Arabidopsis thaliana: one gene and its partners. The protein of the gene in region 4 interacts with the protein of the main gene of each other region in a pairwise test. Each region holds a gene or a part of one and is shown on either strand. Other genes may lie near its edges. The genes, in order: BMY2, GRF5, AT3G07260 and AT4G03250.

Region 1 (8,947 bases), on a different chromosome or scaffold from region 4:
ATAGAGTCTGCTTCTTCATATTCCACAAGGCATATGTAACATCTGAGGTTCCAGGAAAAAACATGTTTAACCATTAGGTCTCGAGACTTTTGAGCATCACAATTGGCAAAAGAAAGATCTGAGAATTTAGTATGCATTACTGTGATGGATCCTCGCTTTGTGACTTAGTATAAAGTTTTATCGGTAATAAATCCACAACGTCGTTAGGTGCAGGAACAGATCCTATAGATGATACTGATGGTTGTTGAGAGGATAAGACAACAGATTGCTGATGAATTTCATCAAGAACCTAAAATGAATGCACTGTAGATCCTTAGCATACATGAGAAAGAAAGATAGTGGCAAAAAGCTGTTAGTAGGGAGACCGAAAACATGTATTTACCTCGAAGAGAGCTTCAGCTAGCAATACTATCCTTGAGATGCTAGCTCTTGCATTTGTTTCATCGGTTGTTGCTGTTGTCGAACCACGGTTAGTAACTGCACGGCATGTGCAGCGACCTGCTTGATCTTGACCTGATAAGACACAAGATCTATCATGATGGACTGCGACATTCTCAAACCGGCTTCCTAATCTTTGAAGAGCGCGAACCTGTGGAATTAGTTATATCAGTTAGTTAGATCTTGAGTTGATCAGACACATCAAGGAAGAGAGAATCAATGAGTTTCAAACCTGAGATCTTATTCTCCTCCTTCTTTCAAGGAAATCTGATCTGTGTTCTAATAAACCTTGATACCTCCCTTCTCTCACAAGAGCAGCTGGTGTCTCATGATCCTGAATGCCGAATAAGGTCCTTCGAATGCTAGAAGCGGAACGATTTAGTATAGACGTTGAAGTCACAGGAGCATCCTCTGCTGCTGCGGTTTCAGCAGAGAAGAGATCAGTATCTTCTTCTCCCTGATGTGGCGAGGGACGGAATGCGAAATCAGAGAGTGAAGATCGGCGAAGAACTCTATCACGGAGTCTTCCAACACTCAGAGTTCTACTAAATCTAACATTGCGCTCAATAGAAGGTTCTCGTACAACATGTCTTCTATCAAGAAGTCCAGCATAAGTACTATCCATACCATTAACTACTCTCGGAGAACGTAAGCTACCATCTTCCCCAAATCTCATGGCATCAATATCTCTAACTACATTGTCAATCACAGGAATTCTCGGAGACTCAACTCTATCATTGAGCCTAATAGCAGATTCTGAAGGTGAAGTAACACCATCTTCTCTATGAGAAGAAGAGACTGGATAAGTCGTGTTGAAGGATCTTGAACTTGAAGCTCTGCTAAGTCTAGAGCTTATGTTACCAGGAATGAATTTGAAATGCGAAAAAACTCGACCTGGAGTAGAAGATTCTTGAATCGAACCGCTAACATTTCTCATCTGTACATTGCTTACACTAGCTTCCTCTTCTTCTTCTTCAACACCACACTCATCATCAAGCTCAAGCTCATCACAATGTCTTTCGTTTTCAGATTTCTTATCATCTTTCAATTCTTTATCATAGCAATCTGATGCATCTCTTCTCGATTCCATTCTACGCCGTGTAACACTTCCATGACTCTTCCTCATCCATCCATTACACACCTGAAGAAATCAAAACTCATGAACTTGACCTAATTTCAGATTTGACCAAAATAAATTAAATATCAAAACCAGACCTGTTCATCATTATCATCATCACTGTAATGAGAAGTAGAAGATGAAGCAAGACAAGAAGAGTGAAGACCACAAAAAAGACTCTTTGATCTTCTTCTCCTTCCACCACCACTAGAAGACGACGGAGGAGGTTGAGCCACGTCAGAAGCTTCTCTCGCCATCGCCGACGAGCCTAGACATGATTTGCTCCGGCCAGATCCCATCTTCTTCTCAAAAGCAAACAACTTTCTGCTAAAATTACATCATTGACACAAGACCCACAAGTCTTTTCCCCATCTTCTTCAAATCCACCAATCGAAGAAACCTCCAAGTCAAAATCTAAAGATCGAAACTTTTTCCTCAGATCTTTACATTGAAACCCGAATTCGTCATTGACAATGCAGAATCAAAAGCCCTAATTATTGAATCCCCAGATCTGAAACTCGATCGAGATTGCAAGAATACCTCGAAATCTGAACTTTTTTTATTGCGAGAAATTAATGTAGGAACTAAGCTATGTGTGTTGTCTTTGAATCAAAGAGAAATGCTTTGAAGAAAAGGAAAGATTTTTAGGTGATCGGAGTAATCGAAGAAGGAGACAAAGCACCTATCTGCGATAGAGAGAGAGACTTTTACGGGAAGAGTGTGTCTTGATGTTCGAACGAGAGGGAACAAAAAACCAAACTCACCATTTCTTTATTTTTCTTTCTTTTCTTTTTCAAACTATTATAACATTCTTTTGTTTTCGTTCGATTTTTTAATCTTTTTTGCAATCATAATTGGACTTCATTGAGGACTATAATTGAGAAAAAAGCTTTGAAATGGTCATTGAACAGTGATCACTTAGATGAAAAATAGTTGTAACCAAACCAAACTAGAATATTCAAACTATACTCAAAACTGAAATTTTGTTGACAAAGCCTTTTGGTTTTATAAATTGCGAAGCAGAAATACAAAATCGAACCAAAATCGAACCAAAATCGAATCTATATTCTCAAAAATTAAAATATAATTGAACTACACTAACTTCAAAGAAAGAAAGAAAAAAGATATATTAAAAATAGAAAAAAAAAATGAGTTGAAAAAAGTAAATCACAATAAACTAAAATATACAAATCATTTTTTTTTATGAAGTGATTGTTTTCAGTATTTTACAATTTAGATATAGTGGCATTCTAGCTTCAGAAGATTTTTGTTGGACCGGCCCTGTAAAGTCGATTTAAAGACCAAACAAAAACTAATTTTAACATGATAAAATCGAATCAAATAAACGGAAATTCATTAACATTTTATTTATAATTATAATGTTAATTTTACTAAAACCTACCTAAAATAAAAACCTGAGTCAAAATATGTAAACTAATTTTAACATGATTTTGGTTTGATTTACTAAACCAAAATCAAATCAAAAGACAAATTATGTATTTATGTTATTCAGTTTTTCTTTTCTAAACTAATAAAACCATGAAAAAAAGGATTGGAAACAAAACCGTAAAACCCATCGTGTCATTCCTAACAAACCCATCAGTAATTCAGTATCACTTTGTCAAAACTGGTCACATTGGCTATTGTTGAACAAAAAAAAAAGAGAGGTTTTTGACCAAAAAAAAAAAAAAAAAAGGAGGGGTTAATATTGACGATTTTGATAATGAGAGACTTTTAACGTAATTTATAATAATTACCGACGTTGATTTGTAAATCCATAAAGTTACAAAAAAATCTCAAATGTGGGAACAGCACAGAAGCGAGCAACTTCACCGCACAAAAATGCATACTCTCAACAACACCATCACCACCACCACCGGTTCGCAAGATCCGAATCTCGACCCAATTCCAGACCCGGATCAATTTCCCAACCGGAACCGCAACCAACCACAATCTCGCCGCCCTCGCGGATTCGCCGCTGCAGCAGCAGCAGCGTCGATAGCTCCAACGGAAAACGATGTAAACAACGGAAACATCGCCGGAATCGGCGGTGGAGAAGGAAGCAGCGGCGGCGGAGGAGGTGGAGGAGGGAAAGGGAAGAGAGAGAGGGAGAAGGAAAAAGAGAGAACGAAGCTTAGAGAAAGACATAGACGAGCAATCACTAGTAGAATGCTCGCCGGATTAAGACAGTACGGTAATTTTCCGTTACCGGCGCGTGCTGATATGAATGACGTAATCGCTGCTTTGGCTCGTGAAGCTGGTTGGAGTGTTGAAGCCGATGGTACTACTTATCGGCAATCACAGCAACCAAATCATGTGGTTCAAACTTCGAAACTCTCTCTCTCAAAATTCAAACTTTCATATTAAGCTATTTAAGTTAGGGTTTAGTGGAAAGATGATAAATTTGATCCCAAATATGTGTGAAGCTCTTAAAGTTATAAGCTTTGTTCTGTTATTAATGTAACATAGATTGTTTAATATTATTGGATTAGGTACAGTTTCCGACGAGATCTATTGAGAGTCCACTTTCTTCTAGTACATTGAAGAACTGTGCTAAGGCTGCAATTGAATCTCAGCAGCATTCAGTTCTTAGGAACGATGAGAAACTTGCTCCTGTGTCTCTTGATTCTATTGGTATTGCCGAGAGTGATCATCCCGGGAATGGAAGGTATACTAGTGTTAGTCCTATCACCTCCGTTGGATGCTTGGAAGCCAATCAGGTGAATGATAAATTCATTTCCTTATTAGGAGAATTGACTTTAAGCTGGACGTTGTTTCATCTAACCACTTTGTTTTTCTTTCAGCTTATACAAGATGTTCATTCCGCAGAGCAATGTAATGACTTCACAGAGAGCTTTTATGTCCCTGTGTACGCCATGCTTCCAGTGAGCTTCTGATGAGAGAACTTTGTGTTTTAAGTGTATATATATGGATGTTGCCCAATAAAAAAGAGTGTACATATATTTCTTACCAGTTTTGCCGCGATCCTTAGTTTTCCTGTGCTAAAGTTCTGTACCTTGTCTTTCAGGTTGGCATTATAGACAACTTTGGCCAGTTGGTTGATCCTGAAGGTGTAAGACAAGAATTAAGTTACATGAAGTCATTAAATGTCGATGGAGTAGTAATAGATTGTTGGTGGGGAATAGTTGAAGGATGGAACCCTCAGAAATATGTATGGTCTGGCTATAGGGAGCTCTTTAACCTTATCAGAGACTTCAAACTTAAGCTACAGGTGTGAATATTTTTACTTGTAGAGCTTTGTTAAATACATCCTATGTGACCAAACTGTGACTTTCCCTATAAAGGACCGTCTTTTTCATAATATCTTAGCAATCAGTATATGGTTTGTTTGAAGGTGGTGATGGCATTTCATGAGTATGGAGGGAATGCATCTGGGAATGTGATGATTTCGTTGCCACAGTGGGTGTTGAAGATTGGGAAAGACAATCCAGACATTTTTTTCACTGATCGTGAAGGAAGAAGAAGTTTCGAGTGTTTGAATTGGAGCATTGACAAGGAACGGGTATTGCATGGACGAACTGGTATAGAGGTACTCAAAGAACACTCATTGCTCAGAAATTGTTCAGTATTTTGGTATATTATGTCTCATTTCCTCCTCTTTTGTACTGTCTAGATTCTTATTTCTTCCTTTTCAACACTTGATTATCCAGGTCTATTTTGATTTTATGAGAAGCTTCCGGTCAGAGTTTGATGACTTGTTTGTGGAAGGACTAATTACTGCGGTTGAGATTGGTCTTGGAGCTTCTGGTGAACTAAAGTACCCATCTTTCCCAGAAAGGATGGGTTGGATTTATCCCGGTATCGGTGAGTTTCAGGTATTTTTCAGATTGCTGAACTTTACTTCTACGTTCTAACTTATGACTAGTGAAGTTAACATATCAATTTACTATTTTTCCTATTGCAGTGTTATGACAAATATTCGCAATTGAGTCTGCAAAAGGAAGCAAAGTCACGAGGATTCACTTTCTGGGGTAAAGGACCAGAGAATGCTGGTCAATACAGTTCTCATCCACATGAAACTGTGTTCTTCCAAGAAAGAGGTGAATATGACAGCTATTATGGCCGCTTCTTCTTAAATTGGTACTCACAATTGCTAATTGGTCATGCTGAGAATGTTCTGTCTCTTGCAAATCTCGCATTTGAGGAGACGAAGATTATTGTCAAGGTATAATCCTTTTGGCACTTATCCTTCAAACCCAGTGATGCCTATAACAATGAGACTCATACACCAAAAACAACAATGCAGATACCGGCAATATACTGGTCATACAAGACAGCTAGTCATGCTGCTGAATTAACTGCAGGATACTACAACCCTTCAAACCGTGATGGGTACTCTCTTGTTTTCGAAACTCTGAAGAAATATTCCGTGACTGTGAAGTTTGTGTGCCCTGGGCCACAAATGTCTCCCAATGCGCATGAAGAAGCATTAGCTGATCCAGAAGGTTTAAGTTGGCAGGTAATGACACTTTTTATTGATGACTATAGCTTTTTTTACTTCTCAGCAAATGTAATCTTAACCCTAAAGTTTTGGTTATTTGTGGCAGGTGATCAACGCAGCTTGGGATAAGGGACTTCAAATCGGTGGAGAGAATGCGATTACTTGTTTCGACAGAGATGGTTGTATGAGATTAATCGATATAGCTAAACCAAGAAACCATCCAGATGGCTATCACTTCTCCTTCTTCACATATCGTCAACCTTCTCCTCTGGTTCAAGGATCTACTTGCTTTCCAGATTTGGACTACTTCATTAAACGCATGCATGGTAAGATTTACCCGCACGCTTGATTGTGCCTTCCCTTTAGATTCGTTGTCAAAATCTTTGTTCTTACAACTATATTTGTTTCTTTGCAGGCGACATAAGAGATAAACAGTTTTAGGATTTGCATGGTCTTAGGATTCTTTTAGTAAGTGTCTTTTGTTTAAAACTTCAAAATCTGTTTTGTTTTGTTTATTCTCTCCTCAAGGCCTATATTTAAGACGATTGATCTTGTAATCTTTAAACACCTTAACACTTCACTAGTTGAAGATGAACTAACTAATTAAATTCTTAAATGCATTCTAATCCGACTCGCGTAAAGTAGACACTTGTTTAGTTTTATTTTGAAAAATACAAGAAGGTATTGATGTCTAATGAATACAACCGAAAAGTGTTGCCTAACTCTTATACCTTTTTGTCTAAATTATTCTTAGAATAACCTTTTTGACTATATATGCCCGAATCCGATTACATTAATGGTATTAATAATTTTTGTTCAAAGTTACATTTTTCTTTTGTATCATTCAAATAATATTCTGATAAAATCCTGATTTTTCATGATTGTATTTGACATTTTAGATCCAACCAAATCTTTGAAGAACAAATAAAGAGGGGAAAAAAAGACCAACATGTCCTTTTGCATTCAGTGTTAATTCATGGACAATATAATGTTGGTCCGTACGAAAATTTGATTTTGTATCTAAAGAAGCATAAGAAATAGGGTTAGTTAACCACAACGAACAAAGCCTCTATTATACATATCTAAATGTGGGATAATGAGGCAAAATGTCCAATATGATTAATGAAAAAGATGGAAAAAAAGTCTTAGGTGGTGTGTGATTTAAACTGTGTTTTAATTACTTTAAATGATATGAAAAATCTGTTATTATTTAATCAAGATTCTATTAAATTCTGTTAAAGTTTTTTTTTTAGTAGTAGAGGGGAAACAACCGTCTCCCGCAATTTATTGAAACTGAAAAGAAATTACAAAACGGTAGGCGGGTGAGCCTCGGAAACGCAGTTCCTCGGACATCCTCCCTTACAATCTCCTCCACCAATGAGGGAGCTAAATCAAACTAATGAATACCTAAAGATAGATTAAAAGCATAGTTCGCTAACCCGTCTGCAAGGCTGTTAGCCTCCCTATATACATACGGTTAGCTTCTCTGTTTTAGTTTGATGTTATTAGTTTTTGATTTATTAAAAAATCTTTAAAACTCTTAATAAATTTGGATTTATTGGAATTATATTTTAAAGTCATTGAAAATTTTGTGTTATTCAACTAAAACAAAAAAAATATTTGATTGTTAATGAATTAAATTATTCTGTTATTGGTTTATGATTTTCTATATTTTTACTAACAAAATAAAATCATAAAAAATATAATCGAATGTTTGACAAAAAAAGTATAATCAAAATAGAGATATTGTTTGAAAAACTTTACAAGATTGTGAAAAATTAATTTACATGATTATAGAAAACTCTCTAGCAATAGTTTATCAACAATGATACATTTTTTTTGCTTTAATTGAATATCACAAAATTTTAGCTATAAAAACATGAATCTGATAATTCCAAGAGTATGAATATTTTAGATTATATTTTATAAATCTTAAAACTAATAAAATCAAACTTTAACAAACAAAAAAAAATGAAAATGTTGATTAAATAACAAAAGATTTTACATAATATTAGAAGTCACTAAAACTCTATTTAAATCACAAACCAATAACATCATCAAAATAAACAAAAGAAAAATATACGTCATCAACGGCGTTTACTATTCTGAACGAAATTGTATAAATCTCATCATCACTAACCTAAAACCAGCATAAACCCTAAAATTTTCTCAAAACCCCATAAACGGTAAACCATAAAGCTTCAAAATTTACAGAGTTTCCATCAGAATCTGTTGATATCTAAATTCATTTACCCGTTAAACATTAATAAATAATAACTGATAAAGAATTCGAAAACAATATCTATATAGCTCAAAAACCCTAGATCCTAACATTTCAAAAACAAAAACATTATTCTTAAAGCTTCGAAACTAAAACAAAGACTTAAAAAGTAAGGAAAAAAACAACAAATTATCTTGATTTAGATAAAACCCAATACCGAATCAATCAAATCACACAGTTTTCAACAAAAAAATTAGACGAACAACAAACAGAATAATTGTGTCAGATCTGATAGTTGGATCCTTATTTTTTCACCTCGGACTCCGATTCAGTTGATACAAGACGGGAGCTCACAAACCAACCATGACAAGACACGTGTCGGTGTCAGCCAATCAGTTCCCGACCTGCACCAAGCGAATCCGAGACCGCCGGTAACTTTAACAATCATCGCATCTCTCTCTCATCAGAAAAAGGTGAAAGAGAATAAGGAGGAGAAAACAGTTACCAAATCCGGCAAATATTTTTTCTGTGATTTTTAGGTCTTTCTCAACTATCGATAATACTTTAGCAGCCTCCTTTAGTGGTATTTAATGAAAATGATAAACCAATTATTTGTCTACGCGTGTCTCTTTGAAAAGTCTTCTGTTTCTATATCTGCACGTTGACCTAACGTCGGAACTCGTCACCTGTGACTGTCACGTGCATGCGT
Region 2 (7,727 bases), on a different chromosome or scaffold from region 4:
ATGAGTCCTCCGCCACCACCATTACCATCACCTCCGCCGCCTCCTCCTCCACCTACTCCTTCTCCACCTCCGCCACCGATTTCAAAACCCCCTCCTCCTCCGCGTGCTCAAGCTTCTCCTCCGCATTCTAATAACAGAGAATCCCATAGAAACCAACCACCACCACGGCGGTTACGTCCCCCATCTCCTCCACCTCCTCCTCCTCCTTCTCGGGTCTTCAAACAGTCAGAGAAAAGTGGATTAAACACAGGGAAAACAGTGGGTCTTGTATTCGCTGGGTTTGCAGCAATGTTGCAGATATGCGTTGTTGCCTTCTTGGTTTTCAAAAGAAAGCAGCTTCTAAGGATGACACATACTTATTGAATTTGGAAGACACATTTTATTGAATTTTCATCAAACCGGGAAACACACACTTTTGAGACGAGGATCTAAGAAAGATTGATTGCTGCAATGATGTTTCCTCAAAGTCTTCATCAGCCTTTTTCCTCTGTAAATGGGTACATTCTGGATTTGACACTTTCCTTCTTTTTCTTCTTCTTTGTATTCTGAATTTTTTTGTTCTTTTAAGGGAGTGTAGTTTTTCATTTACATGCCTAACGATGCTAACTAGAGAGAGGGAACCGAGAGAGTTGGGGGAAAGTAAAAAAAAAAGAATGGCTCAAGTCATGTAAAATTGTTTTAGGGATTCTGTGAGATGATGAAACCGATATCTAATTTCATTTTGTGAGTTCGCAAATGTGTGTTACGTTCTCTACCTCTCTTAATGATTCATGGTTGTACACAAATCCTCTGTTTATTTGTGTTTTCCGATATTTCGGTTTGCTTGTGTAATGTTGTTATTAGGAGTGAGGTTCAAGGCACAGTAAGGTGGTAGGAAGATCAAGTTTCTTTTTTCATGTTATGCTTTTCGTAGACAATAGATTCTTTGTCAGTTCTCTTTGGTTTGATTTTGACGCTTGAGACATTTTTCAGATAGGAACTGCTTAGACTAGCTGTTGGAATCAGAAAATGTCATTCTTTCGTGTCTGATAGCTCTTGGAATCAGAAAGTATCGAATCTTTCATGTTTGATAGCTCTTGTAGTCAGAAAATGTCGGAATCTTTAGTGTTAATGTTGCAAAGTGAAAACTGGCCTCTGGTTTAGTTTAGAACTGGTGGTAGGGCGTATTTGAGAGCCAAGGATGACACCGATTAATCAGAGTTTTTGAAATTTCCGGTGGTCTGAAAGTTCCTTGACCTGATTCGGTTAATGGAAACCGGTCTGGTTAGGATAGTTTGACATGGTTGAAGAATGATAATATTGATTTTGTTGTTCCCTACTATGAAAGTGTTTAGGACGCGTTTTTGTTTGGTATGACCAAAGATGAGCTGGTTTTAATCTGGACCTTATTCCGTTCACAGAATCTTCGGTGGCAACATGCTTTTAAAAATTCTCAGCATACATATTTTATACGTATGAGATTTATATTAAAAATATAAGATTAATGTTGGTAATGACCAATGATTCCAAGTACTCATACGCACGTAAAAGGATTAATGGATCAAGAGTCATGACGTTTTGTCTTTTAACTCTCCCATCTTTCCTTTTGCTAAAGGAGCACATACATGGAAGGAAGCATACACCAAAAGTTGTATATGATTGTTTGTTTTCTATAAACGACAACAAAATTTATGGTTCTTCTTCTTATAATAATAAGTTTAATGTTTTGCCATATTATGTAGAGTTTTGACCATACTCTCGTTTCGTAAATGCGTGATTCAAGACTTGGGCCTATGTAACGTCATTTCATAACCTGCGGATAATCTCAACATACAGCCATTTAGATAGTAATTGATTATTTGTGTCTGTGTTTACATATAAAACTTTAACTAATTGCGGATAATCGTATCCTTTGCCCTACAGAATTTGCAACCTAGTCTACTATTATTCCTCTGCATGAATGTTTTACATTTAAAGTAAGTTAATCAGAACATGGCCTTAGAAAAAATCTAGATTATATGTGTGAAACTATATAGATGCTTGCATCCTAAGAAACAAATAAATTATATATAACGATACCCCTCACAAATCAAGTCATGTTTTCTTTTGTTGCTATCAGCGACAGTAAAATAAAATCTGATTTCTTGAGAAAGCAAGAGAACACATACAGATATATCTGTCGGATCACTTTTTCTTGTTGGACCTAACACACATAGAAAAAGATAGAAAAAATACATATAGGATTCTGCAAACAGTGTCTTGTCTCATTGTTCCACGGAAATAGATGTGAAATGTGACTCTTCTTCAACATTTCACAGTTGTGTGTGTTGGTGCAGATCCATCATTGATGCCAGCTCTACTTAATTAGCTACCTGAGAAAATAAATTTAAACTAATTTTGAAACTATCAATAATTAGCATAGATCATAAGATTACGTCTGCAGATTAATTAATTACCAGTGTCGAGTCTTGAGTGGGAAGAAAGGTCAAGCCAAGAATCTGAACTGTTCTTGTTCTGTGCCCAGTCCTCACCAAAGAAGTGATGTAGAGACTTCTTGGACGACTCTGATGAATCTTTCTCATCTTCTTCTTGATTTTGATCTTGTCTTGATGAGTTTGCAAGGACACTTCTTGTAGGTTTGTTGAACATGTCGGCGCCCAAAACAAAACACTGTTGCTGTCTATGATCATGATCATGATGAAGATGTTGAGATGATGATGAGGATGAGTATGTGTGATGATGATCAATCTTATTATGATCAGTACTACAGTGGTGGTACGGATCATTCATCACTGTTGCTAACGGTTGTTGGTGATGATGGTATGGAGAATCTTGAAAGCTTCTAGATGCTTCTGGAAAGAACGTTCTCTCCCCAACTCCTCCAACTCTCTCCCCAATCCCTTGAAAGTACCTGAATTCAAAAAACAATCCATCAATAAAAGTTTCCATAAAAGATCAACAAGAGAAACTAAAGATAAGATCACAGAACCTGAAGTCTTTGTGGTCAGTAGCAGAGGCTAAGACATTGAACTGAGAAGTAGAATTAGTATTTTGATGAAGTGACAAAGCGGAAGCATGATGAAGAGTTTGTTGTTGTTGTTTGGGTGAAGTAGAAGGATAAGGATAATCAAGAGAATGGCTGTTGAAATAACCTCTAGTGTTACTACTACTTCCACCAAGCCCAAACCTATTACTGTTACTGTAGGCATCCATTGAAGAAGAAGAAGCAGAATAAGTAGTAGAAGAGGAATTAGAGGAAGAAGAAGAAGACAAGGTGGGACTTGGGTTGTTGTTGTTGGTGAATGAGAGAGATGGTGATGTTAAAGGAGTTGTTGTTGTCTGATTCTGATCAAGAGATTTTCTGGCACGGTTTCTTCCTCTGTGCATGTGTTTTTCACAGTACTTCGAATCTGGGTAAGCTTCTCTTGAGCATCTCCATTTCTTACCATCTGTTCTTCTGCATCTTCCTGGCTCTGGATCTGGTTTTCTCCCAAATCCCATCTGGTAACACCCCCATCCAACTGCATCATTTAATTAAAACGAAACCCTAAAATTAATCATGATGTAAAACCCTAATTAGGACCTTAAGTTCCAAAATCATTAAAAGTAAGACTGTGGAAACTGAGTTTTTAAAAGTGGTCGTTGAAAAAAAAAGCTAGAGACTTTAACCAGAAACCAAATCACTCTAAAACACATAAAGCTGAAAACTTTGGGGGCATGAGAATCAACAAAAGATTGAAACTTTATGCAAGAAAAGAAAACATGAAAGAAAGAAAATTAAGTATAGGTATAGGGCTTACGGGATTGGTGAGGAAGGAGTCTAGAGACCAAGGAAGTGTCCAAGCTTCTTCTAATGGAGAAGATGAGCTCAGGTGGGACAGGAACACCAGAGACCATGTACTTGTAGATTAGGGCTTGATGTTCCAGTTCTTCCCATTGTGTTGGTGTAAATGGAGGCCTTCCTATTGTTCTCCCGCTACTTCCACTTAGACTCATCATCTTATTCTCTAGCTTTCTTCAGATAGTTTATATATGTAGCAAATTCAGAAGCATAAAAGAAGGAAGAGAAAGAGCTTTCTTGATGGATTCAGAGATTAGGGCTCCTGAGTTTCGGACAGAGACAGACAAAGATGACCACTTTCTCTGTCACTCTTTTCCTCTGGTTTGATATCTCTCTCTCTCTCTCTCTCTCTCTCTCTCTCTCTCTCTCTCTTTCTAAGCATATATTCCTCAGATGCAAATTGCATGAACACTAGCTAGGTTCTTTCTCTACACGAGGCCACTCCCTCTTTTATATATATACCCTACTTTTTTGTATTGAGGAAAGATAAAAGATTATTACACAATAGAGATTACTATACAATTAGTCACACTCTAGTAGGGTTTATTTTGGGGGGAATGGTAATCAGAAAGTTAATAAATCAAAGAGTGATCACAAAGAAGAGAGAGATATTTAGACAGTGTTGAAAAGAAAAAAGAATCACATCAGGACAAGAGCTTTTAAGGAGTTTTGCCATGTAGTGTAAAATCAAAACAACATTAAAATATCCAATATTGTAAAATGTAAAAATAGATAAAATGTATGTAAGGGGGATGAAGAAGAAGAGTGTGGTCCTATAAAGACTGGCAAATCTGAAGAGACTCAGGCCCAGTGTTCCTGTTGCTTCTTCTGCAGCACTTGATGCTCCTGTCTCTCTGACTACTCTTTCCTCTCTTCTCAATCCTTTCTTCATCTTATTTTTCAAAATTTAAGTATTTTTTGAAATTATGTGTATTTTTTTCTATAAAAGTGCATTGATTTTTGGGAATCTTTTTTATTTATTTTTTCCTTTGAGCTGACGCCTTTTTAATTTCAGCTGTATCCCAACACTTGATGGCCTAAAAATGAGTGCCATTTACCTTTTTATTGAGCTCATTTTTTTATTTATTACATTTAGTGAGCTCTGTTATTACTGTCTAAAAGACAGAGGAAAATCAGATAGATGCAAGAAGAACAGATAGATGTTAAAAAAAAGAAAAAAAAAAAGAAGAAGGAAATACGAGTATTTATGAAAAGAATTCGGAATAAGCTTCTTGTATCATCACTGCACGAATCTCTGACTCGGGAGAAGAAACCAAACTTATATGCTGACTTGAAAAAGAGTAAGATTATTTTACAGTTTCTGACGACAATACAAAAGAGAGATTTTTACTAAATTTTCACATTTTCTTCTTAACATCTTTTACATAAGTTGGCAAAATGGTAAATAAGAAAGAAAGAAAAGGGTGTTTAGATGAGAAATAGAGAGCAGGGGAGAGACCATTGGATAAAGAAGGGGACTAGGTTTGTTTGGTTGCAAGTGAAGTGAAAGTACTTTTGTCCTTTTTATATAAAAAATGTTAGATATTTTGTCGTTTTTATTATGTATTTTTTTCGGCATTGGTTTTTACTGAAGAAAAGTTTTCGGAATAAAAAAGAAGAGGAAGACATGTGAAGAATCAGAAATATACAGAGAGGGTTGGGTTCATTAAGTGCATAGAAAAAAAAAAGAGTAAGACTGTTCACTCCTCTGTTTGTTTCTCTGTCTCTTTTCACATGCTCTGTCCTTTTCTCTCCTTTTTTTGAAGCCCCCTAGATCTTTCTCCTTACACACCTACTACTACTATCTACCATTCTTTTACATGCACATCTATAAAGGTTTTATATCTTATGTACATATACATGATACATACATATACATGAGCTGATGAGCATCGACTTTAGGGTTTGAATGATTTTACATAGTGGATGAAACAAACTAGTACAATTGATAACATTGCGTAATAGTAGAATGATGGGATATAGTAAAAAAGTTGATAATTATCGCGATTTCTACAAATTTTTGTAATTAGCAAATACTAATTCAATCATTTGGCGATTACAAATTATATCCTTTCTTCAGTACAAAATAATACATATGTAATTGGTTAATATATAGCTAGTGAAGATCAACCCAAGAAAATAAAGATGGTTACCTTGCGATGACCACGTACTTAAACAAAATGGTGTTCACGCGATAAACCATCATCCTAAATACTTTTGATTATATACATCACCTTCTAAATTGGTTCGAAAATGATATGCATGCGTATATGGAGATATGTAAGATGGTACCTACACATATTAGTTAGAGCTCCACTCTTGTTGGTTGGTCAAAGATATATATGATCATAATCATGGTGATTAAGCTATGAAGAAGAAGGTGGAAAGACCTTTGGACCAAGGGATATTTCCATTTTAGTGCATAAATTTCCATTTTAGTCACTCATCTGTATCATCATCATCTATTCTCTTCTTGTTTTTATTATGTTTTTAGCGAATTAATTAAAATGAAAATGAAGAGTTAATTCAAACTTTTACCAAAAAAAGAAGAAAATGGAGAGTTATAAATGGGTTATATTATAGGAGATGATGGGTGGGTAAATGCAGATATTATAGGGCAAGAGACCTACCTCCTTTTCTCCCTTTGACTCACTTTTCCCTATTTCTTTTTTCAGTTTCATGACATTTACAATTGACATGTTAATACTATAGCCTATAGTCTATACCCTAACCATCTTTTAGGCCTCGAGGGTTCTTTACGATATTCTTCGTTTTATATAAGGGAATATAATACTTTTGCTTCATCATCCATCCAATCACATAAAAATCAACGATTTACGAATATATATATGAAACATTGCTATATTCCACGTTTTTTTATTTACTATATATTCTACGTCAAAAGAATTATCTTGTTTTTTTTTTGAGATGATTATATCTTCTTTTTTTTGAGAAAATATTTATTGCTTTGTTCCGGATATATTAATCTCTCCCATTAACGAGATGCTCACAATCGTTTTTTGTAATGTTTCATTCTAGTGTGCACCGCATTCTAGTTTGTTTTCTTTGTTCTTTTTTTTTGTATTTATTTATTACTGTGTTATACGAGCGATTTGGACTAAGATCATGGTAAGAATAACTATTGGCAAAAAAAAAAATTACCACGATCGTTCACCAATCACGATTCACAAGGCGATATTGCCACGATTCACATTATTTGAACATACAATTTTTAATCAAACGAATTTATTAAACAGTACAAACCCACGCAATTAATTAACTTTACAACAAACCAACCCACACAATTGCCAAGATTCACATAATCAAATGCATTTATTAAACAGTTTAAAAATAACCCATAGAATTAATAAACGTTATAACAATGTCCTTGGGAGACTTTTATTCTAGTATCACTTTCCTACATCAAGTTCCAAATTCATACGTGGGTTCGAAACACGGGTTCCTTCTCTTCTTAATGGGACCTCTCCCTAATGGAACCGTCGCCGACGTGGACAACAACAACAACACATGAAACAAATAAGCCAACCTATAAATCGAACAAGTTGGATTAAAAGTATCAAAACAGGAAATACAACCCAAAATCCCACATAAATCAATAGTATATAACGAATTATTTGATCGTCGGATTGAACCAGCACGATGGCGAAGAAGAACGCCGCTGATATACAAAGAACCGCCACCACCATAAATGTTCCGAGGATAGCCATTATCATCCGGTTCCTTCATATACACAATTATATCATCATATAAGTGTCTTTTAGTTTATTCTAATACCAAACAATTTCTCTACTTATTCTGAGTGTACCAAAATTCCATTAGATAACTATGATATATGTCATCAACTTTCCATAGTTTTAAAGTCCAATCAAATAGCGATCGAATTAGT
Region 3 (6,766 bases), on a different chromosome or scaffold from region 4:
ATCATTCAAGAGAACAAAGATTTCACCAAAGTTACTAAGTCAATCAGGAAAAGTATCTTTACCGATAAAGTGAAGACACGCATCGTTCCATCTAGTCCAGGCCGTGAAATCGTACTCTTATCTTTATAAAGCTTATAGAGATTCTCCGGGGCGTTTTGCAAGGTGTTATAGTACTGCCTTGCAAACTCATCCCCCACCTACGTTTATACAGAGAGTTACAATCACAGGACAATGAAATCCGAAGAACAGAGCATACAGTTGTTGGATCCTATATACCACCTTTGCAGTATTTGGACGAGGATCCATCGATACAGAGAATATGCAATGCCCTGTATCTCAAATCAAGTTCCAAACGCAAAATCGTTAGATCTTGCGAACATAATCATAAAAGAAATGGTGAGAAGCAGCGGCTAACACAAAAGAAATGACTTATTTGTTAAGAAATGACGAAAGAAGTATAGAGATTGTCTTCACGTTTCACTAAATCAAAAGCAAAAGATGCATCGCTGATCTAATCCTCGAACCAACGATAAACCGGAATCGCTGAAAGAAGACTCACCTGAAATTACAGCGAAGTAGTGAAGAAGATTGAATATGAGTATTGAGTAGCTCCGAGTTCTTCCACACCCACTCCAATGGCGGTTCCTACGGTTATTCACCAGAAGGAAGAACAGAGGAAGAGACGAAGAGCGCGAGAGAAAGAAGGTGCTGAGAATTTCTTTTTATTTGGATTTTTCGTCCTATTTATGCAATTTCATAAAATGTTTATATTTACATTTGTTGCCACTAATCGTTGAGCGTTTTCGTTTGTTTGTTAGTAAAATCTGTTACTTTTTAACTGCTTTATTACTAGAGAATATTTGTTGACGAATTCAAACCATATGAAATTGCATAAATAAACAAATATATATACAACTACACGAATTCTTCACTTTTACTGATACGTTAATAAGAGAGACAATGCAACAAATTAAGTGTAAAATTAGTTGAAAAATGTCAAGGAAAAACAAAACTCTAAGAAAATCATGGATGGAGAGTCCCTTCGAACTCAAAACGTCCATCGGTGAAACTTATATACACAAAAACGAGACAAAAAGAGTAACAAAATATGTAAATTTGTAGTTCACAAAGTTGAGGGAACAACGGTTATATGCCTCAACGGATGCGACACATTAGTCCCACCGGCGTGAACGATGAACTCAGCCGGCGAGAAAGACGTTCCATGGCAGACGCAGATTATACTGATCTCTGATTTTGAGTAACGGTATAGAAAACCATTTACGGTTTTGCCCTCGGGACCGTTACCGGTGCTAGTCACGCAAGGCATCTGAGCAAACGGAAGCAAACTGCCGTTACCGTTACTGTTGGTATGCGGTTTTGGCGGCTTCCCACTCTCTTTGGTTACAGAAGAGTTGGACCATTCTTGGGTCTCCGCGTCTTTTGAACCGTCTGTGTTATGCACGGTTTGCTCTGTACCGGTCAGAATGTTGTTAACCGGAGATCTAACCTGTTTGGTTTGGCCAGATTGTGCCCCAATGTCGCCACTTCCACCTGAACATTAACCATAATTCAAAATCATCTACATGCAAATAGCATAATTTTCGTGATTCTTTAACAGAATCAACACATCGAATTATATACTAAAAAAAAACTATATACATATACCAACCAATTTTAGTTTATTTTTAAAAGAAGGTTGTTATATACCTTCTTGGCGAGAAGAGCTGCTAGGATCGGATACGGAGGAGGAGGTGCAAATGGGTGACCCAATCGTAACGTCTTTACTGCTTTCCTTGAGTCGACCCGACCCGTAACCGTTACACATGTTGATAGAGCTCAAATCCATATCATCGCCGTTACTAACTCCGTTATATTCTGTTCTGATCCTCTTGCACTCTCCTTCTTCTCCGCTTCTCTGCTGCTGCTTCGCCTCCCGCTTCTTCCGTGTTTCCTTTATCCTCGTCACATTCGTCGTTCTGCCGTCAAGATTAACGCCGTTATCCTTCTCGAATCCGACGGCGTTAGATTGTCCAAATGTTTTAGATTTCTCCGTTTTCTTGAAAGGACCTCCCAGGGAAAGACATAGCTCGAGCTCGAGCTCGACCTCCACATTCTCATCTTCTACAAACTTTTCTGCCATTGATAAAGATTCAACAAACATATAATGTCAAAAAGATGGTCTCTTGTCTTCCGCAAAATTTTCCTCTTGAAGGGTTTTGAAGCTTCGCCAACTTTGTTGTATGAGAAAGGAATATTATAAGGGGCGGAGATAATTAAAAAGAGAATGGTAAAGGCTTCGGAACATGACACATGTCCGATAAGGATAGTGGACATGGGCGGTTTCAAAATTCACTAAGAGAAAGGTTAAGAAACTTTATTAGCGCTACAATTTCGGATTATCGATAAACGCTTTCCATTTATTTTGTTGGTTTCTATTTCCATTGGTTGTAAAAATCAAGTAAAATTTTGACGAAAAGTACCGAGACGCCACGTGTAACACGTGCATGGAAACAGTTAACACGTGTACACTGAGATCCTGCTGGCTTTGACGAGGACACGTTGGGTGTTTTGAATTCTTGTGTTCGTATCTGACTCCGCGAATCTCGAGCATAAACACGACCCCGGGATTGACATGTGGCGACCATCTTCGAGAGACAGTGCAATAGGTTAGACAGTCCAGGTCAGCAAATGACGCCGTAACGGTTATTCTCATCTGATGTGTGTCGACGTGGTTCATGTTTGGCTGGCTTCATGGGCACGTGCTAGATGACAAATGGCTGTAAAGAATTATGTTGAGTAGATAGATGACTCGTGTCTTTATTCGAATAGTGGAATAGCTTGTTGAAGTTGCTTTATTATAGCTTGGCTATCACAAGTTCCAGCCTTACTCTTGCATGAATTGCACCTGGAAAGTGGAAAGAGGATTGAGACTATTTGAATTGTTGACAAGAAAAACAAAGGAAGATTCTGCGAATACACTGTGGAATATAGCAAATGTTCTTTTCTCGTTGTGATTTTTTCGGTTGATTAAATGTTTAACAAAATGTAAAGCAAAGATTCTAGAAAAAGAAAACCATTCTTGACTTTGCTATTTCTTTGACAAAAATGTGACGATATTCTTATGAACTTTTCATCATATTTTATCATCATAATTTCAAGCCTTACGGTTATCACATGATCCATATTCATGTCAATGTCATGCTTATCCCCGAATATTACATACTACTGGGTTTATGTACATAAGATCCGGTTCACGTTAATGGGCTGATGCTTTTTAGATAAGGCCCAACTAAAGCTGTTTCTTTTGTTAGCCGTGGAAACAAACTGCCCGTTTTGATTTGATCGCCGTAAGGCCCGTAACATTGACAGTGGAGAGGCTGAAAACATGATGGGTATAATAGTCATTTACTTGAGAAGCCTTTATATTTTTCATTGTACGGTTTAACCACAACATATCTAAACCGGTTTCCAAACACATTCTATTACTATGTAACCCCAAATTTGATCTCCGACTTCAAAATCGGAGAAATTTCACGGCATGGCTACAGCCGTTGGAAGCGGGAGCGATGTAGAGGTTGGATTTGCGAAGCTCCAAGGTGAGGATTTCGAGTACTATATGCAGTCTTACTCCATTATTCTCGGCCGGAATTCTAAGAAATCGACCGTCGACGTCGACCTCTCATCTCTCGGCGGTGGGATGAACATTTCTCGCAACCACGCTCGGATCTTCTATGACTTCACTAGACGACGCTTCTCTCTCGAGGTACTTGGCAAAAATGGCTGCTTCGTTGAAGGTGTCCTCCATCTCCCTGGGAACCCCAACGTCAAGCTCGATTCACAGGACCTTTTGCAGATTGGTGACAAGGAGTTCTACTTCCTGCTTCCGGTTTGGAGTATCCTAGGCGGTCCATTGGGACCCAGGCACCACGTCTTAGGGAAGGCTACTGTTGTTCCGTACCATAATTATCATTCGGGTCCAGGTTCCGGGTCGGGTAAGAATGGCGTCCGGAGTAGAGAGTTGTATGAGTACGATGATGAAGACGACGATGAAGAGGAGGATATCAGAGGCAGTGGAAAGAAAACATGGAGAGATGGACATGAAGGAGTATATGCCTCTGGAGGTAAAACCAAATTGCTCATGATAGCTTAACTTCATTGTGTCACTAAATAGATTTCAGGCTTGTTCTAGACTTTGAGTATAAGTTTTACTGTGGTGGTTGATGATTGAACCTTGTTAGACTTAGATTGAATGATAGTGACACCACGACATTGTATCTGCTTCATTTGTGCAGAGAAGAAGAGAGAGGGAAGATCAAAGGCAGATCGTGAAGCTGATGATCAACAATTTTTGCAGCTAATGCATGGTAGTGGTTGGTCTGTGACAGATATTAAAGGAGTATGGAAACGTATGGCATCACAGTCGAGTAAGAAGATACCTATCACAAGAAGACTGGGCTATCCCTGAAGCAAAAGGTAAACCATGGTACGGTTTGCTGATGCTGCTGAGAAAATACCCGGAGCATTTCGTCATCAACACGAGATCAAAGGGAAGAGTTACCCTTGAATTCGTTTCCCTCGTTACCCTACTCTCATAATCATCGAGATGATTGTTAGTGCAGGAGCAGGATGATTGGTAGTATATCTTTTATGTTTCCACGTAATGAGTGTATAAGTGGGTGTTAGGTGTTTTGACCTTGGTGACTCGTCGGATTAAGTTTTTCTCGCTTTTCTTTGTTACGTTGTATATGTAGAATGACAATGACATTGATGAGTAAAACACTCTCGGATTTAACCTTTTCTCTCTCTTCAAGAAATCGCATAAGCTATTTTCAGCCATATACATACTATAGCCTATATGGCTATTCAACATTAATACACTCTCGGGTAAATTTAACCTTTTAGTTGTTTTCTTATGGCGAAAGCGGATTTGGTTTGCATATTATTTAGTTGAAAAGAAAAATCAAACGAGAAAATATATCACAACCCAAAAGTATACTATACAAAATTCAGATAAAGTTGTCTCAAAAGTACTATGCATAGTACAGATAAAGTTGTCGGAAGGAAATATTAGTATGATTTTCCCCGTCTCATTACTGTACATCACTTAGTCAACGCATACACTGTTAAAAGTCAACACATACAATCATTCAAAAACGTTTGGAGTTTAACACATAACACATCACAAGAGTGATCATCACAAATTAGAAGTTTATTTTACAAACTTGAGCCTATTAAGTTTTTACTTTTTGGCCTAATGAAAATTGAAACCACTTTATTCAAACCCAAAAATCAACTTTCTTCTCTTGTTTTATCGGTGGTCAAGATCTAGGCTGTTCGCAATAACATTTATTATTTTTTTTTCCAATAATTTCGTCTTTAGTACCAACTTTCGTTTTATATATTGCTGCCGTACAACTTGCACTTGCTTACATGTTTATTTGTCTACAAATTATTACTTAAAAGTTAAAACAATATACAGAGAAATCTCCCTAAGTTATTGAGTGATAGTTTTAAGTTTTTTTTGTGAGATAAATTAATTACTATTTAGTATTTTACGTAGGTTTTGGTAAGATTCTTCGATTTTTTTTTTACTTACAAAAACAATAGAAAAAGACTGATGCATGACAAAATTCTTAGAAAAAAAAACTGATGCATATGATAACGTGAGTGAAGTTGGTGCTTAGAGTTGCTAATATTAATATATATATATATATATATATATATATATATATTGAGTGAAGTTTTTTTTTTTTTTTTTTCAATCATTGAGTGAAGTTTTTTTCTTCTTTTCTTTTCTTTTTTAATCTTCTGCTGCAGTCACAAACTCACAGTGATTGTAAAGCTGAAGTTTGTTTCCAGGCTCATTAGTCATTACCCTTGCTACAAAATTAGATTAGCATCAAAATTAATTAGTAAGTATTTAACCTAGGTTTTGATAAGATTCTTGTATTTGGTTTTCTTATCACCTCGAAATTTCCAATTTTGTTTGATTAAAAAGGATATAAGAAACAATAGGAAAACGTGCTTGTGGCATGCAACGTTGTTTTTTTTTTAGATACAGATACAAGGCTATTTTCTAAATTCAAAATCTTAATCCGACCAAATTTAAATCTATAAAAGTGATTGGTTACAGACACTATTTTACTTTTTTGTCTTTTTCAAGAAGTTATTTGGATTTTCAAAATTACAGCATTAATTAAAATAGTAAACATATGTTAAAAGCCTAGGCGGATAAGTGAAAATATGATTTAAAACATTTCTAATGCATATTTTATTTTATTTTAAAGGAGATTTTAAAATATAGAGAATAATTCAATGTGCCTTTATTTTATTTTAGAGAAAATTCTATTTTAGATATATATAATGGACTAAAATTTTTTATATAAAAAAAAATTTCTTAAATAAAAAATAATATAAAAATGAACATTGGAGATGGTCCGTAAAAAAAATGGAATATTGGAGATGATCTTGTTTAAATACTAATTACGGAACTACCTACTTTAGAGATATCTATGTGTTAATAATTGTGGTATGTGCTAATGATATGGCTATGTCATCCTCTTATGTTATATTGCAAGTTGTTTCAAAACGAAAAGTATTTGAAAATGGTCGATTATTATACGTATATACGAGTAAAAACATATTTCAGTCCGAACTAATATAATTATACTCTCTAACTACTTTCTTTTTTTGGTGAAGTACTCTCTAACTACCTTACGACAACAATTATTACCTGAACATTGAACAATGAATTTATTACGAAATA
Region 4 (8,366 bases):
CCACAGATCCTTGACTCCCTGGAACATCCACCAGAAAAATCTCCCTTGACCCATTTCTCCAGGAAATTAGGCCTAAAACCTGGCAAACACTTACACATTTCCTCATTCTTGCTGTTGCAGCTACCAAAATTTCCACAAGCATTGTATACACTACATTCATCTCTAGGTTCAGCCCAAATCTGTGCCCAGAATCTTTCTCCATCTAACCTGAAGTACTGAGCTTGACCAGAGGAGCTCATGGTGAACCTTGTATTGGTATACAAAGATGTGAAGAGAGGAGGCACAGAGGCATTGTGAACAGTAACAGTCTCTGTGAAATTGGAAAGAAAGTAAGAAATCGCATAAGGCATCTCGTCGGATCCTATGAATTTACCCGAAATTCCGGATTTCCAGTATCTCATTGATCTTTTCCAAATGATGAACTGTTTGTCTTCTTCTTGATCCATCTGAAAGGTGAAATTTCCATGTGATGGATCGTTGAAGCTTCTCCATGATGATAAAGTCATATTCTCATCCATCCTCATCCCTGGGAGAAATGTATCAGTAGGATTCTGAAAACTCTGCCAAACCACATTTGCTTCATTTCCATCACTAATCAACACAAGATTACCATTATCCATCAGCTTTACCATTCTCTCCGCAGATACTGAGGAAGGTTTAACACCGGTGTCCCAATACACTCTTCCCTTTGAATCAATAACTTCAAGATTCCCATCTTTAGAGATGGTGAAAATGCAGGAACGGTCAAGAACCGGAGATTCACGATTTGCAACCCAGACAACAGTCAGTGGATGTAAATTGTAAAACCAAATCCCTAAGTACCTTCTTTCGTCGGAGCTTCCATTAGGAGTGAAGAAGCCAAGCTCAAATCTCTGACCAGCTGAAACAAGAGTCTCTCCATGGCTGTCATTGATCAATGTTGAACCTTTGAACAATGTTTTGGAGTCTTGAACTGCAACAAAACAATCTAATCGACGAATATGCAGCAAAAACATATAGAAGAAGACAGAAAGAATCATTCTCTGACCAGTACTAGCTTTTTTTTACTCATCTGATATCTCCATTATTTCTGCTTAAGAACTCAACTCAAAACGTGTCTAACGAAAAAAGAAAAAGTTTGCCTCAACGTCAACGAAAGACCCACCTGAAAAGTAAATATGTGGAACGCAGCTAATCATGTGTTTTAAGATGTTTCCAAGAAAAAGCAGAACAAGTCTCACTTGAGCATCTGAACCAAAAGCCATGAAAGTAGTAGATACTATTTACACTCTCTTAGCCACTGTATGTAGATACACATGTGACCAATTCACGCACTTTGTGTCAACTTTTTCCGCGATGGATCTCTAAATAGTTCAAAAAGATCCAACATTTTTTGAATAATACGTACTTTTAGAGTATTTTTTGACAATGAGAGAGACATAGGGGTACCTAAACGTGAATTACTGGAAAAAGGGGACAATGATGTTGAAGAAGTCAATCTTTTGTCCTTATTGGTGCTTTCGAAGAAGTGGAGATTGACCCTGCAAACATTGTTAACCAACTTTTTTCCGAAATTATTGTGAGATTCGAGGAGTTTTGACAAATGTAGGACTTTTGTCGTTCAAAAGAAATGTTTTCATCTAAAACGCGTAAACCTGTAAAAGGCAGCTTCAGCTCTGATTAAACAAAGAGACTTGCAACAATGTCACTATGAGACATTACTGTTTAAAAATAGATTCAGAAACACTAATCAGTTTTCACACTAAAACAACTTTGTCTTCTGCCTTGTTTGTTTATTCCTCTGGATGTTTCATAGATATACCTTTAACAGGGTATAGCAGTTTCAAGTTCATAGATGAAACCCTTTCGCTCACAAATATTGTTTTAAAGCCTTCTTTATGAGAGTTGGATTGGTTCACCACATAGATTCTCTAACTCCTCTTCCAGGAGTTTATGCAACTTTGCTTCAGTTCGCCGATATATCCACGCATTAGCATCACGGTCCCAGTCAAATCTAGAAGGGCCACTGCACCGAGACAAAAGGAAGAATGAAGATTACATTAATGTGAATCTAAGATGTGGAAGCACAAAGTCAAGAGCAACAACACTATACAGTCATAAACAGTTTCATTTCTCCAAATATCATGAGTACAAAAATCAGAAGAGAGAGCAGAACATGATAATCCAGATGCGAAATTCAATCTAGGCGCCTAAAGTTAGCAACTTTCAAAAGGCAAGAAAGAATCTTTACCTCACAGGTGAAGACATCCAGATTTGTCGATTTGGAGTTTGCTTATTCAGTACATAAGTGCCTAAAGATCCAAGCTTAAGGGTAAGAACTTCATTCTGTTGGAAACAGCCAAAAGGACTGACTATAATAAGTACACATAGATTTCCAGAAATATGAACAAGATCTTAAATTGCTTAAAAGAGTTTAATCCTTACCCCATAATCTATGTCGAAACCATCAATCTGAACATTATCACCATAATCCTGAACATGAATCATGCAAGTAGAACATAGTGTAAGCTATTGCAATCTCAAGTAAAACGAAGAACCCTAGAGAGAAAAAGGTTCCAGCTTCAAATACCTCAATTTTCTCAAGAAGGTGATTAATTGTGAAGTTGGCTAATTTGTGAAACTCTTCCTCCTGCAAAACCGAACTGTTTTTTTCTTCCACTTTGTTCATATTCTCATGAAATTAACGATTCAGATACAATAAAGGAGATCAAAATGGAGAATATTAAAGTACCTGTAATCGACAGAAGCAGGACCTTGAGAAGAGAAGCTTCTGGTAGTCAAAGAATCATGGCGGATTCGAGATCCTATTCTCCAGAAGGAATCCAACGGTTCTATGGAATCTTGAATCAGATTGCTTGAAACTCTTACGCCATTGCTACGGAGAAGAGTTGGAGACAGCTTGAGAAACCTCGGCAATTTCCGTAGAAGAAACCTTGAAGCTGTAGCCATGGCGGTTCTGTCACAAGAAACATTCGACGCCTCTCTTCTTCTTATTCCTTCGTTGTCCAATTTAGGCCCACAATAAGGCCCAAATTTAGATTTACCCGGTTCACGTATTTCCCATGTTCCGGTTTACTGAAACCGGTATGGTTCTCAAGAGATTTGTCATTTGTGTGCGAAGAAGAGTTTTCTTCTCCTCTCATAAGAAAAAACCAGAATTTTGAAGAAGGAGAAAGAAAAAAATCTGGGTTTTTGGGAGCTGATTAGGTTTTGTTCCTTCAATCTCTGGGAATTTTCGCTATGCACTCAGGTGAAATTCGTTTTTTCCTCTATTTCAATCTCTGTCTTCCTGCGAGTTTACGTGAGAGAATAGTTTTTAATGATCCCGAGTTCGTCGAATTACAATGCAACTCCCAGTTTTTGTAGTTTTAATTAGCGAAATTCATCAATGGCATTGGAAATTTTAAGCCTTTTTTGGTTTGTTTTATGGTACTACTAATTATTCAAGCTAAGGAATTCCAAAGTTTTCGTTCGTTTTGATTGGGTTTAGAAGTATTTGGCTGATGAGAGAAAGAGCCATAATTCTGAAATTAAACCCTTTTATGTGAAGCTTGTGTAGATGTTTTACCTGAATTTCGGAATTACTAGCAACATTTCTAAATACACAAAGCATGATTGTAAAATGAAATTGATTTTGGTCAGGGCTTTGCATCTCTTGGTTATTGAATGGTGTCCGTGTTTCACTATTATCTTCTTATGTTTTTGATTTTTATGTGCTATTTTCGATAGATTCAGGCGAAGCGACCGCTGATGGCGATAAAGCTTCTACAGAAAACAGCAAAAAACGGAAGCTTAAGACTCCTATGCAAGTTATGGCGCTTGAGAATTTCTACAATGGTAAATTATGGCTTTGTTGTTTGCATATGTTCCTTTATACCAAGTTGTATATGCTTTACAGGTGTGATTTGGTTTTTCTACAGAGCATAAGTATCCGACTGAAGAAATGAAGGGCAAGTTAGCAGAGGAAGTTGGATTAACTGAGAAGCAAGTTTCAGGTTGGTTCTGCCATAGAAGGTTAAAAGACAAACGTCATGTAAAAGAAGATGGGAATGCCATTGGGAGCCAAGATCGGTCAAGCGTTGTTCTTCAGGATCGTGGAAGTGGGCTTCGACAGGATTCATGTGGTAGTACAAAGCAAACGGATTATTGGAACCCCAAGCCTAGGGAAGTTGAAAGTCAAAGGCTTTATATGGGAAATGCTGATGGTGAAGATAGTACATCTTCTGATCGTAGCTCATCATTACGTAAGAATCTTGTCTCTAGCAAAGATGGAATTCGCGATGTGGAAAGTTCTAGATATGTTGCACATAAAGACGTTATTCAGCATCCTCAGTTCATGAGAAGCTATGGGTATAATAAGCCTTCGGGATACTTGAAAGTGAAGGGAGAGAGTGAGAATTTTGCTATCACTGCCGTAAAGAGACAATTAGGAAGACAATACCAAGAGGATGGTCCACCTCTGGGGGTTGAATTTGATCCTCTTCCTCCCGGTGCATTTGAGCCTCAGACTAATCCTATAGTTCACGGTGAGTCATGATAAAATGTTTCAACTTTACCTTTAATTTTCTGGTTTATGATGTTATGAGTATTGAGTAAGTGGCTCAGAGAAGCTAAAACCATCTTCTTCGTGTGTCAGATTGTGAATGCCTTTACCCATGTCCAGTCGGATTTGATTGCTTTTTCTATCAACTGTTTTGTCAGAGCCAATATATGTTGGGAATCAGAGACGGCCTCACCTTCCACATTTACTTGGAACGAGGAAGAGCTTTAATCCTGGTCCTGTAAGTGAACATTTTCTGTATACTACATACCCATGAAGATAATATAAACTAGAATCTTAGTCTGCCATCACATTCTTTGGCTAAATTATCTTACTTTCTTTGAAGTATTATTAATATTTTCGTTTTCTGTCTTAATGTCTTTATAGAGCTATGAATTAGCTCGTAAATCAAAGTTGCATTCGCCAGATCCAGATTCAGAGGATGATGAGCATGATGATGATGACAACATAATGGTTGGAATGGAGCCTGGTCTAAGAGATAAGAAAAGTTTTGGGGAACCAAGACTGAAATCCCCTTCTACCAGTTTCTATAATTCTGTACCTCGCCACAAATCGTTTAAAGAGACATTCAAAGGTTCACCACGGGAAATCCCTGTAACTAACAGCAAGAAGGGTTGGATAAGTTCCAAAAGTTGGGCTGAAGGGTCGAGAAACCATCTGGTTGCCAACGTCCAAAATCTTTCTGGAAGCAATATTGAAACCAATCAGTCTCATGATTATGATAATAATATATCTAATGGCGGACGCAAGACGGGATATCTCACTAAATCTTCGAAGCTGTTACCTCCGAGTAGAAGCAGATCCCCTGAGTCAATGGATAGAGGTCCATCTTCTGGGATGGTAAAGATTTGTCTAATACTTCCATGTCTACATGTTCCTTTCTTGCCCTTTTATGGAAATATGACTTGTGTTTTGTGTGATATCTTCTTTTAAAGGCAGGAATATATCACGGGGAGAGGAATCAAATGAAAATGCAGAGAGAGAAATTGCATTCGACTGATGAACCACCGGTGAGTTTGATGGTTAACTATCTTAAAAATATAGATATTGATGTATATTTTAACAAAGTTTAGAGGCTCTATCAAGTTCGTGTTCTGACCTTTAACGAATGTTAATAGGTTGCCAAACGAGTGAAACATGGGTATATTCAGCAAGTATATGCACCAAAATCATCATCATACAGCGAGATTCTTGAACGAAAAAGCCAGATAAATCGGTTAGTAACCAACCATTGTGTAATGCATTTATTGTCCCAAAGAGATATCAAATCGGCTTATTGGATCATACTGTTATGTTTGTAGGTCTGGTGTGGAACTGCCTTCTAGTTTAAGCGGGGACGATGAGACTGACGAATCTAGCTCGTCAATGGATTAAGTAAAGAAAGGTACAAAGGAAGATTAGGAAATTCCGGTTTGTATAGATATATGATGAAACCGGTTTAGGATGTGAAAATGTTGCATCGTGTAATTGGTAAAAGTTAGAGCTCTCTTCATTTTGGTAACTAAACGGTCCCCAAAGAGATACAGTGAGCCAGTAATGAGCCTTTTTTTGTTTAAATTTGCTCCTAAACCGTTACCGGTTTGACCGAATTGAGTATGTAAATCCCAGTGATTACAAAATAACCAAAGTAAGGCCCATTTATTAATAAAGCTCAAATTAGGCCCAAAATATTATGATAGTCCGGTTTAGTCGTAAAAGGCGGTTCGGAAATGTGTGACTAGGAGATTTCGTCACATGAGAAAAAATCAGAGCCGTTGACTAGTTTTCGTAGAAAGTATGTGGTACAATTTTGATTCGGCCAAAAAAGGTTTTTTTCTTTTTCTTTTAGGGTTAGCGTTGCTTTGCCTCAAACTCAAATTTTGAAGATAATTTTTTTGGTTTCTCTGCTACTGATTTCGAATCTTTACGCTTAATCAATTATTCATCTGGATTTTCAAATCCAATCCTTTTCCTCCCTGGTAAGAATCTCTCTTCTTCTTCTTCTTCTCTCTCACGACGATTCCACTGTTCTCCGATTCTGTGTTAGTTCCTGCGATATTTTCCATCACTTGTTCGTGTTTCGTTATTACGGGTTTGTGTTTTGTGAACTTGTTGACCTTTGTGTCTCCGTAATTTCGTCCAACGGTTGATGTTTTTGATTGCTGATTAGATTTTTGTCGGTAGGTATTGAAAAAGATGATCTTTATGGATTTTGTTTTCTGTTTCTTCTTTCCTTTTTGTAATCTGACTTGCAAGCTTTTTGCTTTTTTTGTCGGTCGGTGTTAAAAATTGTTCCTTTTCTCTTGTTCAATTGTTTCCTCAGGTGACCAAGTAATTGGGGATTAACAAAGGGACTGGGGCTTTATTAAGCTCGAAACAATTGTTCTTCACTCTGGCCGCTTCTGCAAAGTCGTGTGCTTCTCGCACCTCTGCGCAGGTGTGGGGTGGCCTTGAAGTGGTGACTTCACTCTGTCTTCCAAGGATTTCTCTAGCTTCTATCATTTGGAGGCTCCGTCGTGTTTCTGAGGGTCTTACCCTTGATTACGGCTAACATTTACTACGCCCACTATACCACCTCTTAAGCTTTTATAAGAACTTTTTATTCGTGCAAAAACTTAACTTGGATCTTAATTGTTTCTAGTTTAGTTGTGGTTGTAAAGTAAAGAACCGTTTTTTTGTGGTTTGGTTTTGCTTTTTTAGTTTCCGTTGGTGATGTAGTTCGATGTTATTAAGTTTGACACAATGGTCAGGTTTTCATGCTTCAACGCTCACATCCACCGCCATAGACCTAAGGTAACTTGAACCATCATTGCCTCTTGTGTCTTTAGAACGATAGTTTTACATTCTCTGTCCAAGACTCCTTTGTCCAATAAGAGAATGCTAATTTGTTTCTATGTTCTGGTGATGCAGAAATCTGTTGAAGGATTTTCAGAACGAGTGATCAAAGAAGATGGGTCTAAATCAAAAGGATTGAGCTCAATTATATTTGGGAGAAACATTGCTTCTGTTAGTGAAAACAGCAAGCCAGCCGCTGTTGAGCGTGTCTGGAAATCTGAGGAAATTAAGCCCAGTGGCATTCTTGAGCATGGTATTGGGACGCACCAGGTACTGCATCTCAAGAAAAGTCAATCTCATGGAAATGAACTATACTTGGATGGGCGGGATGCCACAGAGAATGGAACAGACGATGCATCAGATCGGATTACTTCTCCGAATTCTCTTGAACAACAGAGTGGTATTCACGAGGCAGGCAGCAGCAAGCGTGTAGATGAAAGTCCTAATCTGTATCAGCAAGGTCCTCGAGCTTCTGTTTCTGCTTACCAGGGTTCAAATCAAGCACTCTGTGGGTCTATTTTCTCGGTTGGAGATCTTCATCATACTGATAAAGACAGCCGTCAACTCGATGATACCTCCTTATATGGTGAACAGATGGACAACTCAAACAGTCAAACACCTCATGATTCACCTTTGATGGTGAGGTCGAATTCATTGCCTAATATTGCTGACTCTTCATCAGAGAAGTCTTCACCTTTCAAATATTCTTCTCACCACTCTAGATCCTCTGATGACCTTCATGCCCTCGACACTCGCCAAACAGATAAATCTGTCCATGAGACTGATGAAGAGGTGAAGCAAGAGGAAGATCAAGATCGGGACTATGATATGCATAATTCTGGAGATAACAACAAGGAAAATCTCGTGGAGGATGGATATGATGATTCATATGATTATTCTTCTTTGGCAAAAGATTGGATCGTACCACCAACAGATGAGCTTAAATTATCAAAGTTCCTTGAAGGAGAAACAACAAACCAGCAAGCAGAAT

The links.
Region 1: the proteins of AT4G03250 (region 4) and BMY2 interact in a two-hybrid assay, tested with the Arabidopsis thaliana proteins (one large-scale study listed by BioGRID).
Region 2: the proteins of AT4G03250 (region 4) and GRF5 interact in a two-hybrid assay, tested with the Arabidopsis thaliana proteins (one large-scale study listed by BioGRID).
Region 3: the proteins of AT4G03250 (region 4) and AT3G07260 interact in a two-hybrid assay, tested with the Arabidopsis thaliana proteins (one large-scale study listed by BioGRID).

What each region holds. Positions count from the first base shown.
Region 1 is NC_003076.8:18,350,239-18,359,185, forward strand, and holds BMY2 (beta-amylase 2), read left to right. Parts: upstream 1-3,286; 5' UTR 3,287-3,355; coding exon 3,356-3,874; intron 3,875-4,047; coding exon 4,048-4,275; intron 4,276-4,359; coding exon 4,360-4,440; intron 4,441-4,583; coding exon 4,584-4,787; intron 4,788-4,910; coding exon 4,911-5,105; intron 5,106-5,226; coding exon 5,227-5,391; intron 5,392-5,480; coding exon 5,481-5,741; intron 5,742-5,822; coding exon 5,823-6,035; intron 6,036-6,123; coding exon 6,124-6,343; intron 6,344-6,432; coding exon 6,433-6,458; 3' UTR 6,459-6,650; downstream 6,651-8,947. Other genes in the region: AT5G45290 (RING/U-box superfamily protein), read right to left, coding at 1-42, 141-289, 383-589, 671-1,579, 1,654-1,854.
Region 2 is NC_003074.8:4,604,777-4,612,503, reverse strand, and holds GRF5 (growth-regulating factor 5), read right to left. Parts: upstream 4,429-7,727; 5' UTR 3,979-4,428; coding exon 3,780-3,978; intron 3,501-3,779; coding exon 2,969-3,500; intron 2,891-2,968; coding exon 2,436-2,890; intron 2,352-2,435; coding exon 2,344-2,351; 3' UTR 2,007-2,343; downstream 1-2,006. Other genes in the region: AT3G13950 (ankyrin), read right to left, coding at 7,309-7,561. UniProt on the Arabidopsis thaliana protein: Transcription activator that plays a role in the regulation of cell expansion in leaf and cotyledons tissues.
Region 3 is NC_003074.8:2,306,166-2,312,931, forward strand, and holds AT3G07260 (SMAD/FHA domain-containing protein), read left to right. Parts: upstream 1-3,443; 5' UTR 3,444-3,538; coding exon 3,539-4,121; intron 4,122-4,292; coding exon 4,293-4,465; 3' UTR 4,466-4,818; downstream 4,819-6,766. Other genes in the region: AT3G07250 (RNA-binding (RRM-RBD-RNP motif) domain nuclear transport factor 2 family protein), read right to left, coding at 63-197, 280-306; AT3G07255 (nuclear transport factor 2/RNA recognition motif protein), read right to left, coding at 1,124-1,551, 1,708-2,161. UniProt on the Arabidopsis thaliana protein: May play a role in the control of plant organ development. Does not show transactivation activity in yeast.
Region 4 is NC_003075.7:1,421,810-1,430,175, forward strand, and holds AT4G03250 (Homeodomain-like superfamily protein), read left to right. Parts: upstream 1-3,092; 5' UTR 3,093-3,240; coding exon 3,241-3,250; intron 3,251-3,729; coding exon 3,730-3,837; intron 3,838-3,920; coding exon 3,921-4,526; intron 4,527-4,701; coding exon 4,702-4,781; intron 4,782-4,927; coding exon 4,928-5,401; intron 5,402-5,496; coding exon 5,497-5,571; intron 5,572-5,679; coding exon 5,680-5,777; intron 5,778-5,862; coding exon 5,863-5,935; 3' UTR 5,936-6,253; downstream 6,254-8,366. Other genes in the region: AT4G03230 (G-type lectin S-receptor-like Serine/Threonine-kinase), read right to left, coding at 1-1,019; FH (frataxin-like protein), read right to left, coding at 1,876-2,005, 2,231-2,325, 2,425-2,472, 2,570-2,642, 2,732-2,949; AT4G03260 (Outer arm dynein light chain 1 protein), read left to right, coding at 7,283-7,333, 7,451-8,366.